Rattus norvegicus: one gene and its partner. The protein of the gene in region 1 purifies or fractionates together with the protein of each later gene. This does not show direct contact. Links are inferred from orthologs where the notes say so. Each region holds a gene or a part of one and is shown on either strand. Other genes may lie near its edges.

The links. The genes of interacting proteins can lie anywhere in the genome.
Region 2: the proteins of Gpatch2l (region 1) and Csnk2a2 purify together in Homo sapiens (affinity purification with mass spectrometry; 5 studies listed by BioGRID and IntAct, counting the BioPlex papers as one, with this or other methods). This does not show direct contact. The link is inferred for Rattus norvegicus from reciprocal best matches to the Homo sapiens genes GPATCH2L and CSNK2A2.

Annotation. Positions count from the first base shown.
Region 1 is NC_086024.1:111,631,431-111,634,930, forward strand, and holds part of Gpatch2l (G patch domain-containing protein 2-like), read left to right. Parts: intron 1-1,937; coding exon 1,938-2,114; intron 2,115-2,985; coding exon 2,986-3,065; intron 3,066-3,500.
Region 2 is NC_086037.1:9,593,340-9,596,839, reverse strand, and holds part of Csnk2a2 (casein kinase II subunit alpha'), read right to left. Parts: intron 2,317-3,500; coding exon 2,168-2,316; intron 232-2,167; coding exon 155-231; 3' UTR 138-154; exon of another isoform or gene 1-137.

The sequences.
Region 1 (3,500 bases):
CCTGGAAGGTAAGAGGCCCTGTTAAGTTGACAAACTCGGGTAAGTGTAAGCTATGGTGCAGTGAAACCACCAAATTAGACTACTCCATGGGTAGAAGAAAAACTGTGTATTAGGTCACACTGCCAAGGCTATCTCTAGATTGGGCGGACACAGAGAGAAACAAAATGGCAGGAAAGCATGAGGATTTTGTATGGTAGTCTCACAAAGTCTCTTCTAGCTCAGGGAGACATTGCAAACCTCCTGTCCCCCTTTTGTTTTTGTTTTTGAGAGAGAGGATTTTTCTGTGTCTTTCTGGCTGTCCTGGAACTCATTATGTAAACTGGGCTATCCTTGAACTCACATAGATCTTCCTGCCTCTGCCTCCTGAGTGCTGGGATTAAAGGAGTGTGCTACCACGTCCAGCTACAAGTCCTTTTAAAAATGTGTATTGGTTCATGAGTGAATTTTAAGAACCAAAATTTTGGGTTAATTTGCTGTCAGAAAACATAACATAATGGGTTTACCTGTTGAAGTGCATGTCCTGAGAAATGCTTCTGGATGACAATGGAGTGGACATGTCAAATTGTACAGACTAGCCGTGTCTCCCAGCCCCTGTGCTGATCCACCGGTACCACTGGCTGGTTGTCCAATAGTGTTCTCAGGTTGTGCTCCCCACACGCACCCAGCTTCATTAGGAACTCGCTGGTATTTGGTTCAAATCAGAATCAGCAACTTTGGTAGATAGGGCCCTGCAGTTTGTACGTCGCCTGGCATGTATCTTCCTTTCTGTCTGTCGACATCCCCTCACTTCCCTTCTGGTGCTTCTGGTGCTTCCTGAAGCTTAGGAATGCCTATGTCTAAGACAGCTGTTTGAAGCTTATAGTGAGACACGGTAGACGCCTGAGTGTGGCTTCTTTAGTGTTTGGTCTAACTGCTGTTTGCAGGATGCAGGTCTTACTGCCACTCTTGGAAAGTTCCACATTAATTGAAAGAGTCGTTATTATTTTGGGTGTCAATGGGGGGGGTGGGATCTATCCAGTATATTTTAGAGGACAAAGGCAGCATAAACTGTAGATGCTGACGGTACCCTTGCAGTCTGGAAAGAGGATGAGGTAGCAGACATGGAGCTTCCTCGTTCTTACCTGTCTTGCTGGCAGGAATACACTGTAGTAGAAACAGAGCTGCTGTTAGTGTAGCTAGTTGGAAGTGTGGACCAAGAGTTTGGACGTACGGCTTAGTTGGGACCTTACCATTTATGAACAGCATGGGTTCAGGCAAATGGTATAGTTTCTTGAAAAGGCCTAGGGGGGTTTATTGTTGTTACTTGTGGTTGGTTTTTTTTCCTGGAAGCTTGGATTTCTAGTTCAGAATTATTTTCTGTCCTATCAATGATATATCAAGGCCAAAACAAAGTGTTGGCATACATTCTTTACTGATCTATTATGATAAAATGTAATTATATAACTCCCCCCAAGCAATTACAGCTAATTTTTTGAAGTGAGGAACATTTATAGCTTTGAACTATATTATCTACACCATGGGTAATGATCAGGAAGACAGCTTGTTTTTTATAGAAAATACCTTGGGCTTCATTTGTCAGGTTCTGGGTTCAAATTCTGACTTCATTTACTAGCTGAAGCCTAACTTTCAGGCATTCATTGCCTCACTCTAAGTTGGAGCTGTTGTGTGTTTTTAAGAGGTAAATTATTTGCAGGGTTTCCACATGGATTCTGAAGGGCGTGAGGCTAGAGCTTAGATTTTACTACTTAGTGGTGAGAACAGTCCGCCATGAGGAACTAGGTGGATGCCTCAGTTTCCATTTTACTGCGTACCAGGAGGGACTGGACAGGCTCTTTTGCACCTTGGCTTACTTGAAAGTAGCACAACTATGGCGTGAGAAACCCTCCTGGCATTTGGATTTTATCATGACAGCTCAGGACACGATCTGTTTGCTTTAGGGGATGATGAGCAGAGTGATTGGTTTTATGAAGGAGAATGTGTCCCCGGATTCACTGTCCATAACCTTCTGCCCAAGTGGGCTCCTGATCACTGCACTGAAGTAGAAAGGATGGACTCCGGACTGGATAAACTCTCAGATTCCACATTCCTTTTACCTTCCCGGCCAGCTCAAAGAGGTGAGTTTGGAGAAGATGAAAGACCAGGTCATGGCTTTATGGTTCGCTATGGGACGACTCAGCATGCTTTGCTCAAGCTCTTGCACACCTCTGATCCTGCATTGCTCTCTGAATCGTGCAGTTTCCTTAGGGTTCTAGGGGATTCAAGGGTGAGTCTCAAAGCTCAGAGTTCTCCTTCTCCTAAGTCAGTCCATGTAGGCTCTTGGGACACATCCGCAGTGTGTGCTGTGTTAGGAGCCTGATATCAGTCACAGCCACATATCAGGGTAATGCCAATGCATTACTTTTTCAGTGCTTGTTGGAAGCTTGAAAGTTTGGCTCTGACAAGGAGCAGGCTTTTGTAAGGACATTCACATACAAGAATCGATGACATTTTTAAGTGGATGGTCTAAAAATACTTCTTTAAATGTATTTGTTTTAATGATCCTCTCATTGTGTACTTTGACACAGATGCATACCTCCTTTTCTTCAGTTCTAAAGTAGCAGAACAGGGTAGAAAGGGCCCATGGCAGGGGATAGAAATGAGATGGTCCTTCTATTTTAGTTAGCTCCATGCTCTTGACCAAGTCACTTTACTTTCAGGACTATCAGAGCCATTGTCTAAGATGTGTGACAAGGAAGAGTACTGTTGTGCTCTGTAAATTTAGGACTCTCGGGAGGTGGCAATCAACCATTGTCTGGTATCTGTTGGTGCTTAGTGTGGCTTCCCTGCCATCATACTGCTTAGGACAAAGATTTGGGCATAGTAAGTCTTTTTCAGATAACCTTGTGCCGATGCTGGGTCAAGCTCCAGTGTGCTGTAACATCTGTGCTTGCACAGTTTGTGCTTACGCAGTCTGTGCCTTCAGTAACTGAGGCCTTCTTTCCACAGGATACCATGGTCGCCTGAATCGGTTGCCAGGAGCTGCAGCTCGGTGCCTCAGGAAGGGGCGGAGAAGGCTGGCTGGGAAGGTGACAGATCTCATGGTTTCTCCAGTGCTGTGGGAAGGTGTTAGTCCCCATGGGATTTGCGTGCCCTACTGACAGTTGAAGGCATCACAGGACTCTCTGGAGTTAATGAATCAACTGAATGTTCTGGGAGTTAAGAAGGGTGAATGACCATTATGTGGGATTTGAATGGATACAAATGTGAAAGATAAGCACTTTATCAACACAGAAGTTCTGACCAAACAGACATTCCTTGTAGCCTCCATAGTATGTAAACCTGCTGGCTGATCTCTCTCTCTCTCTCTCTCTCTCTCTCTCTCTCTCTCTCTCTTTCCTGCACTTGTGGCTAATCCTATATTACTGTATAAGTTAAAAATCTCTGACTTCTTTACAACTCCTGAATTCAGGAGTTTTTTTTATCCTAAGGTGACTTTTTATCCTAGAAATGATTTAAAGGGA
Region 2 (3,500 bases), on another chromosome or scaffold:
TGCTTTGACAGACTTAGGTCTTTACTCTTCTTTGCCTTTAGAAGGAAGGATTAGAATCTCTGTTTATCACACTGCAGTTTCCTTCAAGTTTTTGTTTGGTGGTTGGTTTTTATGGGCAAGCATCAGTGCCGCATTACCGTCGATTCCCCAGGCTTCATCGTGCTGCGGTGAGACCACTGGAAAGCACGGTGTTCTCAGCACAAGGCTGGGACTGCTCCTTCACCACCGGGTCTGCAAGAGAGGAGCACAGGTTTCCCACATGAGCACAAGCACTGAGGTTATAGAGAGAACACCATAATAGCCAACTGCCTTTCTTTTTCCACAGTACCAAGACAGACACATTTATGTGGGACCCGGGTTATAAAAAAAAAAACAAAACAAAACCAGGCACCAAGCCAGGATCAGGAAATAGTTCCTTATTTTCCCCCCTCAGAGCAGGGTCTAGAACCCACAGTTTCACACATGCTATGGCAATCAATCTACCACCAAGTCACCTCCTCACCTCCCACTGAACATTTGATTTTGGGATGAAGTTTTACAAGGTGCTCAGAGAAGCCCTGAACTCACTCTTCTTCACCCCGATGATCCTCCAGCTTAGCCACGGTGGCCTCATGCCCACTGGGGAACCCCCCTCCCCCGGAGCTGGGGACTGAACCCAGGGCCTTGCGCTTGCTAGGCAAGCACTCTACCACTGAGCTAAATCCCCAACCCCGGGGAATTTTTTTCTAGGTAATTTTTCTATTCCCTTAGAATATAGACCCAACTGCTGAAAAGCACAGAAATTCTAACTTAGCACTGTTCAAATTTATACCAATTCCTTCCTTGAGTACCAGTGTCATACAGTGACAAGCATGTGTGAAAAGGTGAATGAAAGAGCCAATGGCAGGCAGCCACTGTAAGGGGCAGTCAAATACTGAGCTTATTTAATCAAATAATGAATTATGTGGATGGAACCTTCATCAGGTTGTTTTCATTATTATTTCTGAGACAGATCTCACTACATACCTTAGATGGCCTCAAATGTACAGTCCTCATGCATATGCGTGCCTTATGAGTTTACATTAGTATTGTTTTCTGTTTCATTGTTTCTGTTTGAGTCAGGTTTTCTGTGTGTAGCCCTGGCTGACTATACTGGAACTCACTTTGTAGTTCAGACTGGCCTTGAACTCAGGGATCCACCTGCCTCTGCCTCTCGAGTTCTGGGATTACCTGGCTATTTAAATTAAAGACAGGCCTCAAAGATCTGACTACCTCCTGAACGGCCGACTTAAAGGTGTGTGCCACCACTCCGGGCTATACCAATATCCTTACAGTGGCCAACCCCATAGGGTAAAAGCAGCTCTGTGTTGGAAATTAGAAAGCAGACAATTGAATGTTGCCTGTTCAGCCATAGAAGGCTGAAAGAGAAGACCCTGTATATATTTTTTTCTTTTTCTTTTTTTTTTCTTTTTCTTTTGTTCCCTTTTCTTTTTTTCGGAGCTGGGTACCGAACCCAGGGCCTTGCGCTTGCCAAGCGCTACCACTGAGCTAAATCCCCAACCTGACCCTGTATATTTTTTGTCCTTAAACTTCTGCTGTAAATTTGAAACTGTAGCAACATATTCTTCGTGTTAGTTATTATTAGGAATTAGTTAACTCCAGAGGTAAAAAGGAAAAGAACACATAGTAGTCAAACAACACACAGAAGCCTTACAGGACAGAGTTCATCTTGATTCAGAGAGAACTAAGTCTACTCAACTTCATCTCTCTCAGCCTCTTCCATGACTAGACTCAGCTACCTCTTCAAGTACATGGGTAAGGTGTGTGTGAAATTTCAATGGGGAGAACTACTAACATTCAAACGATAAGCAGGTCCAGAAGGAGCACGTGTGCTCTATGGAAGATGTCAAAGGTCAGAGTCCAGTTGTCACACCTGCCTGTTCCCTCACCTCAGAGCCCTCTTATTCACACATTGCTTCCTTTAGAAGCACATGGGGGGCAATGGCTGGAGAGATGGCTCAGAGGTTAAAACCACCAACTGCTTTCCAGAGGTTCTGAGTTCAATTTCCAGCAACCACATGGCTCACAACCATCTGTAATGAGCTCTGACACCTCTTCTTGTGTGCACGAAGATAGCTACAGTGTACTTTCATACATAATAATTCTTAAAAACAAAACAAAAACTCACAGAAGTACGGGTGCTCCATGGCCTCTTTGGCGGTCAATCTCTGTTGATGGTCGTACCGCAGGAGCTTGTCAAGAAGATCAAGGGCCTCGGGGCTGACAAGGTGTCTGTTCTCACTATGGATAAAGTTTTCCCAGCGCTTCCGTGAATGCCTAAGAAAAACAGTGTATCATTACTATTCTGAGACTAAACTACACAAAAAATTCTCCTCTACTAGACCCAACACCAGTGACTCCTTAAACCAGTGTGAAGCAGCTGAAGCTCATTCTTGGAGGCACCCACTTCATATAACTGACGCTTCTTCAACCCCCCCACACCCAGTTATAACCACGATGTACTGACACCAAACTGCTCAATCATTAGATAAACAGAATTTGTTTAAAACTTCTACATCTGAGTGAGAATTGGTTCAATCTTTCTGGATTATTCTTATGGCCCGTTTTTTTCCCAACTATGAGTGCAGCCTGGTGGACAGAATGAGAGAGTTGGCTCTAGAAACAAGTGGTTTCCTATAATAATGTGTGAAGACGCCAGGCAAGCATTTCCTTATAGCATGCTGCAGTGGGGCTGGCCATGGTGGTGTACATCTGCAATCCTAGCACTCAGCCTGAGGCCAGCCAGGGCTGTGCAGCAAGACCTTGTCAAACAAACAAAACTCTAAACCACACAATCTACTGTACCTGAAAACTCAGCATCCTTAGTATTTATTGTAAAACTTAATTCAGAAAAATCAGTTGTTCATTTCTTATTCAAAGAAACATAGTTTTCCCAGATTTGTCGCCAAAGTAAATATATTCAGGGCTGGGGAAATGGCGTCAGCTCCTCTAGAGTTCAATTTCTGACAATCACATGGTGGCTCACACCCATCCCTCACTCCAGTTTCAGAAAACCCTATTGTGACTCTGCAGTCATCAATACACACATGGTATGTACACGTAAACAGATAAAACACGCTTACATATAAACCAGAAAGAAGTAATTTAAAAAAATTTTAAGTACATGCTTTAACCAGAGTAACATTTTTCCCCCTGTAACATTATGATTTTGTCTTCTATTTATTTGCACAGGATCTCATGATTGTCAGGCTGGCTTCAAGTTCAATGATCCTCCTGCCTCAGCCTTCCAGGTGTTGTGATTAGAGGATTAGAGATTTCCATGTCCACACATGGCTTGTCTTCCATTTCTTTTTTTTTTTTTTTTTTTTTTGGTTCTTTTTTTTCGGAGCTGGGGACCGAACCCAGGGCCTTGCGCTTCCTAGGCAAGCGCTCTACCACTGAGCTAAGTCCCCAACCCCGTTTGTCTTCCATTTCTTAGTAGGAGTCCTAGCACTTAGAAG